Linked DNA regions of Canis lupus familiaris. The protein of the gene in region 1 interacts with the protein of each later gene in a biochemical or structural test. Links are inferred from orthologs where the notes say so. Each region holds a gene or a part of one and is shown in the gene's direction. Other genes may lie near its edges.

Region 1 (4,767 bases):
TTGGTCAAGTTGCTTTTACCTCTTTGTACCTCGAATTTCTGCATCTGTAAAATGAGCATGATAGTCACCTGTTGGTGTGTCATAAAAATTGCTAATTAGTAAGTTAAAGCACGTAAAATAGTGCTTCAAACAGTGGAGACACTGTTATTACTATTGAAAGTATCAGAAAGGGAGACAGAACGTAAAGACTGCTAACTCTGGGAAACGAACTAGGGGTGGTAGAAGGGGAGGAGGGCGGGGGGTGGGAGTGAATGGGTGACGGGCACTGGGTGTTATTCTGTATGTTAGTAAATTGAACACCAATAAAAAAATAAATTAAAAAAAAAAAAAGAAAGTAACATACACAGAGTAAAATACTTCTAAATGCTTTTGACAGAAATACATGTTCTGAGTTTAAGATTTAATTGAGAAAATTTGGCACCAAAAATGTCATGTGAAAATGAGTCTGATAATGAGAAATTTTCTTGAATCATTGGCCTTAGCAATCAAATAGAAAGCAAAAGGGTCATTTTTTCATGGTAGTACGCTAGAGAAAGAGAATATGGAAAAAGGAAGTTGTGTATTTTTACAGTCAATACCTATAACTTTGTTTAATCAAACTCTAATCTAAAAATTACCTTTCAGAATTCCAAAAACCAATATGCCTCCCTTCCAAAGATGATACAAATACAACTTATACTAATTGCTGGGTAACTGGATGGGGCTTCACAAAAGAAAGAGGTACAGCATGATATATTTTTTTAAGATTTTATTTATTTATTCATGAGAGACACACAGAGAGAGAGAGAGGCAGAGACACAGGCAGAGGGAGAAGCGGGCTGCATGCCGAGAGCCCCATGTGGGAATTCGATCCCAGGAATCCAGGATCATTCCCCGAGCCTAAGGCAGATGCTCAACTGCTGAGCCACCCAGGCGCCCCCAGCATGATATTTTAAATGTTGTTCTTAAAACAAGTCTTTTACCTTAAGGTACACAGAGTGAATCAGTTTAACTGGCCTCTGTCTGAAATTTTATCCAAACTCATCACCATTCCAATCTATTCATTCTCAAATATTTACTCACTGATTCTTGAGAAGATGTATTTTTCTTTGGATCTGGAAAAATTTATGAGGTAACCTCTTAAGAATCTTACTTAATAATAAAGTTCACTTGTTTGACTATGGGATAAAGGATTTGTCCCATATGGGGCTAATAAGACCACTCAAGCCTATCCTGTCCTCACTACTAATAGTGTTTCCATCTCTCAGTGCCATTATTTTGCCTTTATACTAAGGGTCAGGAGTAGAGGCAGGCACACCATCTTTTTCTGGAAGGCTCTAAATGTTTTTTGTGTTGTTATTGTTGTTTCATGCATCCTTCCTGTAATCTGATGAAGCCTATGAGCCACTTTTGTAATGGTGCTTTTATTTTTTTATTTTTTAAAAGATTTTATTTATTTATTCATAAGAGACACATAGAGAGAGGCAGATACATAGGCAGAGGGAGAAGCAGGCTCCCCACGGGGAACCCCATGTGGGACTCGATCTCAGGACTTCAGGATCATGACCTGAGCCAAAGGCAGACCCTCAACCATTGAGCCACCCAGGCACCCCTGCCGTGGTGCTTTTAAATACTTAAAAAGCACATATAGACATATGAAGGAAACAAGTGAAATTGCAATAGAGTTATCAAAATACTTTCAAAAAGATGCAATACGGGAATGCATGAGTTTCTTTAATATATTAAATAGTAAGTTTTTCAAGTAACTACCATAATATCAGCCACAGCTGTCACATGAAACTATCACAAGTGTGATGAAAAATATCTGTGCTCTTGACTAATGGCAAAGCCATCCTACTAACACTCCCATTTTTATTGCCTGCACTCATAGCTGAAGGTAGTGTTAGACTTCAGTTGGAGATTGGTGAAAATAAGGATGTATTTTCCTATCCAAGTGTATAGAGCAAGTGAATTCTTTCTGTGGACGCCAGTTTAAGAAGCCCTGCTCACGGGTAGTTGGTGTTTTTAAATTGTCCTTGGATTTCCCATGAAACAGACTTTTCTCGCTTTCCAAAGTTTTGTTCTTGATAGACACTATAGGAATAAAATTTGCACATTCTTTACATATTTAAGCTCATCAAGATCTTTCCTTCTTTCCTGACTTAGTCCTTTATTCAGTGAATTCAAATTTTCTAAATGTTTGACTGGTACCTTAAGGCAGAAAGAAATTTTAAGAGTAACCTTAACTAAGAAAGGAGAGCTCCCAACATATGTTCCAGGGGAACCTGGACACGGGCAGAAATGTAATTATTTGTGAATAAATCGTTCTTCGTGGAAAATATTTGCATAGTTAAAAAACAAAATACTCTTCTGAGCATATGGTGAGTTCCCCCCCCAACATCACATGTTTTTAAATGATCATGTTGAATATATAAAACAAAAACTGAAAGATAAGAATTTCCAGCTTTGGGGTTGGAGGTGATAAGAGGGAATTTCTGAGAGATTTCTATTGGGATGAGAGGTTGGCAGGGAATCTGGTCAGCCTTGGGGTGCTGGGGTTGTCCTAACATTGACATCAGAGGCCAGTACATGGAGCTCTCTGTTTATCAATTTCTTTTTGCTTTTCTCTCTGTGTGTCTCTCTGTTGGTGTGATTAACTCTACTTTTTCACCCTTTACTATTTTTACCTAAAGAAATTACCTAAATGAAAGGTTCATAACACTGATTTGCTTTAAGACATTAGTAGTTTCAGACTCATCGTATTTCCTCCTTCTGAAGTTTTATATTGATTACCTCACAGGGGAAATCCAAAATAGCCTACAAAAGGCAAATATTCCTTTGGTACCAAATGAAGAATGCCAGAAAAAATATAGAGATTATGAAGTAAACAAACAGATGATCTGTGCTGGCTATAAAGAAGGAGGGAAAGATGCCTGCAAGGTAATACACTCAGTGATGAAAAAAAAACACACAGTAGTCTACTTGAGAAAAATCAACTACAAAATATATTCTCCATAGTACATTTCATTGTATTTTTCTTTAAAAAATTGGAGCCAAATAATCTGACAATTTCAAAAGTAACCTTTGATGAACTGAATATATATGTGTGTGTGTGTGTGTGTAAATGTTTATTCTATTATAATCTGTGCAGAGGCATACTATATATAAGGGAGCACCATGGTACATAAAATAGCTGTACTAAAATATTAGAGCATTAGATTTACTTGACATTGAGATTCTGATATCAACATGTCCTTTTTGGAATAAATAGAAAATGCAACCATACGTATTGAATTCACTTATTTTCGTCACATCCAGAGGAATGAGGAAGGCAAGATACCCAAAGAACTATAAGGAACTGTATGTACGTGTTGTGTGTGGTGTGACTACAGAATTTTAAAGGCACAACTGTCATACTTTGTATTATTTCATTTTTCCACTCACTGTGACACAGGGAGATTCAGGTGGTCCCTTAGTTTGTAAACACAACGGAAACTGGCATTTGGTGGGCATCACCAGTTGGGGTGAAGGCTGTGGCCGCAGAGAACAACCAGGTGTCTACACCAAAGTGGCTGAGTATGTGGACTGGATTTTAGAGAAAACACAGGTTGGTGATGGGCACGCCGGTCTTGGATGAAGTCACCAGTGCGAAGAAGCTTTCTAGAGATGGGAAAGAGCCCGGGTTGTAGCATGAATTTTACAACCTGGGTCCAGCTCAAATGCTAAGCCTTGGAGTCTTCGTCTGCAAAATTGTGGAGAATAGTATCTGCTTCATGTCCTTGTCATAAGGGTAAAAGGAGACAGTGCACACAAAGCTGCTGAGGAAAATGTTGTGCAGAGGCAGGCTGTCAGCCTCCAGTAAAAATGCTAATAATGGAAGATAACAAGTGAACATTTCCGCAATTATTTGTTGCAAAATAAAATGGCAAAAGAATGTGACTCAAAAGTGTGTTCTTCTGATTGTGAGACAGAATGAAAGGTAAGTAACTCCAGATTCTAGCACCGTGCTTGTGCTGGCCTCGCTCTTCTCTGACTGCCTCCTCTGGATCTCGATATATATCTTAGGGACAGTAATCTCTTCTCTTTTCGTCGCCTGCATGGTCATCAAAACCTACCACTGCCTGCCTCACTTGGGGCAAAGAGCCAGTAAGCTTGGGTCTTGTTCTGCCAACTGTAGAATATTAACTTTTCCAAGAAAGAGATGTGTTTTCTGAACCTTGGAGAATAGTGGTGCACCTTTTGATGTTGGCCTCCTACCTTGTTAGCTGGCGTTGGCACAAGGCCCCTGGCTGGGTGTGCAGGAGAGGTCTGCGGGGCTGCAGCTCCTGCCATAGGCACACCACACAGCCTTCACGGAGGGCAAGGAGTCTGCTCTGTGGGGTGCAGGAGGGGGTGCCAGTGCATACTGGGTTCTGCAGTAGTAATTCAAGAAGCATTGGTTCTAAAGTATTGCAAAAATTCAGTCTTGTAAATTTGTGGTCGTAGAAAAATGATCCAAATCCGTGTAGAACTCAAACTCCAAACTTGTTAGTGATTACTATAACTGATATCAGCTGTTTGGATTGAGTTCGGTTAAACTGACTTGACATTTACAGAGAGCTGACCATCTACAAAATATTGTGTAAAATAAGTAGAAAAAATAGAAGAGCGAAGCTTCTGAATGATGTTTTTTCCCTTTCACACTCAAAGACACACTAAGTGGTAGAAAGGGCTAAATGTGGGGAGTGAGCTGAAGGAAAGCCATGAAGTCTGAGTTATTCATGCCCCACAATAGGAAACAGAAAGAAA
Region 2 (5,332 bases), on another chromosome or scaffold:
GAGTCCCCGGATCGAGTCCCAGGTTGGGCTCCCTGCATGGAGCCTGCTTCTCCCTCTGCCTGTCTCTCTCTCTCTCTCTCTGTGTGTCTCTCATGAATAAATAAATAAATAAAATCTTTTAAAAAAATATTCAAATTCTCTCTTATTATTTCTAGATCTCTAAATTTCCTTTTGAAAAAAAAAATAAGTTCCAAATTCAATTATGAGGCAATAAAGGCTTGGGCTATGAATTGCAAGGAATACCGCAGGTATGAATCGTGATGATAATTTCAGGTGCACAAGAAATATCACTCTATTTTCAGAAAAAAAAAATTAGTTTCCATTTCAGGTTGCCATCCTAGTAGGTTAATAGGAGACTTAACCTCAGTCCTTGGAGCTCCCTCACCTGCTACTCCCCGTGAAAAGTTGTGCCACCATTCTAGAATTTCATGTCGTGCCAAGTGTTTGGGTGGTGGGCATGAAGGGGAGGTCTGACTCTTCATCACTGGTCCACTAGCTCTCTCCTGCTGGGAGATGCTTACAACCCCATGCACATCCTTCTTTGGGTCTAGTTTATCAGCTACTCCTGAGTCACAGTGAAGCTATCAGAGCCTCTGCAAGGCCACTAATGAACATGTCTGCCCTGGCTATTCTCTCCGTGAGATCTTGCTGCCTTCCCGGCTACGTGGCCAGAAAGCAGGGTAGAGGTGTTCTCTGCTTGAGGCCTCCCAGAGACCTCTGCTCTTCTCAGATCTTCCCTCCAGGCTAAGGGGTAACTTCTCTTTATTCAGTTTTTGTGCCAAATGTCTTTTTCCACCATTAAATGCTCTTTCTTTTCCCTTTTTCCCAAATCAGGGCTCAAGCATTTAGACAAGGGCTAATAAGACTTTGGGCTCACTACCTGACTTACCGAAGCAGTTGCAGGTACATAGTGATGGCAGAAAGTAGAAGTGTGTGTTTGTGTGTGTGTGTGTGTGTGTGTGTGTGTGTGTATCCGGGCCAGGGGATGGGGGCAGTAGATAGGGGGAGAAAGCAAAGGCCAAGAAAGATATGGGTAAATTGTTAGGCTGGAGAAAAAGAGGGGCCCCCAAAGAGACAGAAGCTAAAGCTGGGAGAGAAGGAAATGTGTAGCAGTGTGCAGTACAGGAGGAGCTAGAATCAGAACTTGGGGTTTATCAGAAAGGCTCCTTAGGCTTGGTGAGTAGACATCCAAATCCATCACATCAGAAACAAGAAGCAAGGATGGGGGACACTGGGCTTCACTCAAATCATCTCTTCTTATGCTTCTCTCCTGTCTCCTTCTCCCTGGGGAGCATTTTCTTTTCTAAAATCAATACAATTGAGTGGAGAGAGGCTGACTTGACCAGAGACCATATAGGATGCCCATATTTTAACTTTAGTTGCACCAGTGTCCTGGTGTGGGACTCCTACCATGCACTATGTCCCTGTGCGTGGGCTCCGCAGGCATGCCATGCAATTGGTAGCAGCCCGTTTTTTCTGCAGCTAGATATCTTGCAAAGAAATGATTGAAAGGTATCTGTACGTTGTACTCATTGTTGTCCCATGTAGTGACCTTCATAAAGGGCTTTGGGAAAGTCACTTGGGAAAGGGAATAACAGGTGATTGCTGGTTTTTCCTCCTCCTTTATTAGTTTCTGTTCTGATTTGTTATACAGCATTGTGCAATCACCTGGAAATGTGCCCTGTGCTCCCACGTGCTTCTTGAATGCAAACAAGCAGGTCAACAACCCTGGTGTTGTAATGTCTCCACCTGAAATCTGCTTGGATAACCCAACAGAGCCTTTGGAAATAGGGCAAATAGTGTATGGCAGCAGGAACCCACCAGGATCCGGAGCACTGAGGCAGAGAGATAAGAGTACAGAGGAGATAAAGGGCTGGAAATTGCTAAAATCAGCATTCAAGTTGGCACCAGATTCTTGGTGAAACCCTTCCTCAGCTCCTGGAAGGAGACCGCTAAACCATGAAACTACTTGCTATGCTTTTTCTTTGCTCCAGGCTGCTACCAAGTTTAACCCAGGAGTCCCTCTCAGAAGAAATCGACTGCAATGATGAGGATCTATTTAAGGCTGTGGACACTGCGCTAAAGAAATATAACAGTAGAAACCAAAGTGGCAACCAGTTTGTGTTGTACCGTGTAACAGAAGGCACCAGGACGGTGAGTGAGCTGTGTTTTACCCTGAGACCATTCGAGATACGTGCTGTCAGGCGGAGCCCAGTCCCCCTCGCCCCCCTCAGCAATCACCAAAGAACTGAGAAGCAAAGGTAGAAGCTTATAGTGCATAGAAAAGATCAACACCACTCTTTGCCCCAGGGGTGCGGGGCAGGGTATGATTAGACCTTGGGCGACCAAGCTCGGCTTCCTGGGTGATCAGAAAAGCAAGGTACAGTGAAACAAAGGTAGATGGGGTCATTTGAAAGAAACTATGCAGAGTAGGAGAATCAAGGAACTCAACTGGACCGCAGCAAAAGGACTTACTGGGTGACCAGCGGTAGACCACAATATGAAGACCTCTAGACTTCAGAGGGGAGGGGCTGCTCACGTCGAAGAAATACTATATGATCATGTTTACATATGGAATCTAAAAAAGCCCAACTCACCCAAGCAGAAAGTAGAATGGGGTTGCCAGGGGCTCAGGCTGGGGGAAATGGAGGACGCTGGTCAAAGTATACAAACTTCGAGTTATAAGATGAGTAGGTCCTGGGGATCTAATATATGGCATGGTGACTAGAGTTAATTATACTGTCTGTGTGGCTGAATGCATCAAGAGTAACAGCGATGTTCTAGATGGCTTTTAATATTTTTTATAACTAATTGATGCACTCATGTTGGAGACAAATCCTGACAGTGTGTGATTTCAAAAAATACGAATCTTACAGTAGTTTGTTTAAATGAATTTCACTCTAAAATTCTGTGCCTATGATAGTTGGTAGCTGTTACTTTGGCAGAGGAGAAATGTCCAGTCATTTGATATGATCAGGGTAAAGGAAAAAGCCCACTGAATATAATTTTTTTTTCCTGAAAGTAAAATTGAGCCATTCTGTTTCACAAACTAGTGCAATGATGTAGACATTTGGTCCTGGTCCTTTCAAGTAACAGTTGATTGATGGTCTCTTTATTGGCTGACATCCATGACAAATGTAGTTTTTTGTTCTAAAACATCCATAGAATTACGCTTTACCTTTGCTTTGCCATACGGGCACCATCTATACCTCCACTGCCTAGTTCTTGAACAAAATCTGAGACCTGGAAGAAACTTGGGAGATTATCTTGATGATCATCCCAGATACAAATAATGTGATGCAAGTAGGCTCTGAGAGTCAGGAGACTTGGGATACGGGGCCAGCTCTGCCTTTCCAAAATGCGGGGGGCTGCCTCAGCCCTGCCCATCTACTCAGGGCCTCCTTTCTCTCAACTACAAAGTGAAGGAAGGGCTAGACGTCTTCACCTCTCTGGTCCCTTGCTGTTTGACATGTCAGGATTTTATATCTGGAAGGCTCACCTAACTTACCACCTTTGCACTTTTTTTTTTTTTTTTTTTGGAAAAAAGTATAGTTGTAGTTGACACAGAGTATTACAGGTTATAGTTCAGGTATACAACACAGAAATTTGACAAGTCTATATATTATGCTGTGCTCACAAGTGTAGCTACCATCTGTCACCATACAACACTACTACAGTTATCATTGACTCTATTCCCTGTGCTATGCCTCTCAATCCCATGACTTGCTCATTCCATACCTGGAGGCCTGTATCTCCCATGCCCCTTCACCCATTTTACTCATCCCCCCACCCTCCTCTGCGCTGGCAACTATAGTTTTTTCTCTGTATTTAGGAGTCTGTTTCTGCTTTTTGTTTGTTTATTTATCTCATTTTTTTAGATTCCACATATAAGTGAAATGATATTGTATTTGTCTTTCCCTGTCTGGTTTATTTTCCTTAGCATAATACCCTCTAAGTCCATCCATGTTGTCATAAATGGCAAGATCTCATTCTTTTGTATGGCTATGTAATATCCCATTATACATACCATATGTGTGTGTGTGTGTATAGATAGATAGATAGATATAGATATAGATATGTGTGTATGTGGATATATATGTGTGTGTGTGTATGGATATATATATATGTGTGTGGACATATATATGTGTGTGTATATGGATATATATATGTGTGTGTAGATATATATGTGTGTGTGTGTGTGTGTGGATATATATATGTGTGTGTGTATATATATGTGTATGTGTTGTGCATATATATGTGTGTGTGTGTTATATATATATATATATATATATATATATATATATATATATGTATAACCCTGGCTATATCAAACTGCACAAGATCCGGGTATCCCAGAACATCTCTAAGACGATCGCTACATCGCAGAACCGTATCTATCTCACTGCTGACAACCTCATCTTGAACCTACAGGATGAAAGTTATATATACATATATATAAATGTATATATATATATATATATATATATATATATATATATATATATATCTTCTTTATCCATCCATCTATTGATGGATGTTGGAGTTGCTTCCATATCTTGGCTATTGTAAATAATGCTGCAATAAACATATGGATGCATATATCTTTTCACATTACGTTTTTGTTCTCTTTGGGCAAATACCCAATAGTAGATTGCTGGATCATATGGTATTTCTATTTTTAATTTTTAAAAGATTTTAAAAGAGAGAGAGGGCACAAGCAGGGGAAGCTCCAGGGGGAGAGGGAGAAGCATGCTCTCCATTGAGCGAGGAGCCCCGACATGGGGCTCAATCCCAGGATCCCTGGACCTTGACCCAAGCCATAAGCAGACACTTAACCTACTGAGCCACCCAGGCACCCCTATTTTTAATTTTTTAAGGAAACTTCATACTGTTTTTTTATGGTGGCTGCACCAATTTATATTCCCACTCACAGAGCAAGAGGGTTCCTTTTCCTCCATGTCCTCATCAACATTTCTTATTTCTTGTCTTTTTGATTCTAGTCATTCTGACAGGTGTTAGGTGATATCTCATTGTAGTCTTGCATTGCATTTCCCTGATTATTAGTGATATTGAGCATCTTTTCAAGTGTCTGTTGGCCATCTATATGTCATCTTTAGAAAAATGTCTATCCGGGTCCTCTGCTTATTTTTTAATTGGATTGTTTGTTTTATTTGGCATTGAGTTATATATGTTCTTTATATATTTTGGATGCTAACCGTTTATCAGATATATAATTTGCAAGTATCTTCTCCAATTCAGTAGGTTGCCTTTTCATTTTGTTGATGGTTTTCTTTGCTGTGCAAAAGCTTTTTATTTTAGTGTGGTCCTAATA

Evidence for each region. The genes of interacting proteins can lie anywhere in the genome.
Region 2: the proteins of KLKB1 (region 1) and KNG1 form a complex in vitro, tested with the Homo sapiens proteins (4 studies listed by BioGRID). The link is inferred for Canis lupus familiaris from reciprocal best matches to the Homo sapiens genes KLKB1 and KNG1.

The regions. Positions count from the first base shown.
Region 1 is NC_049237.1:45,417,869-45,422,635, reverse strand, and holds the end of KLKB1 (plasma kallikrein), read left to right. Parts: intron 1-624; coding exon 625-720; intron 721-2,779; coding exon 2,780-2,919; intron 2,920-3,433; coding exon 3,434-3,616; 3' UTR 3,617-3,676; downstream 3,677-4,767. UniProt on the Homo sapiens protein: Participates in the surface-dependent activation of blood coagulation. Activates, in a reciprocal reaction, coagulation factor XII/F12 after binding to negatively charged surfaces.
Region 2 is NC_049255.1:19,458,472-19,463,803, forward strand, and holds the start of KNG1 (kininogen-1), read left to right. Parts: upstream 1-1,731; 5' UTR 1,732-1,959; coding exon 1,960-2,154; intron 2,155-5,332. UniProt on the Homo sapiens protein: Kininogens are inhibitors of thiol proteases.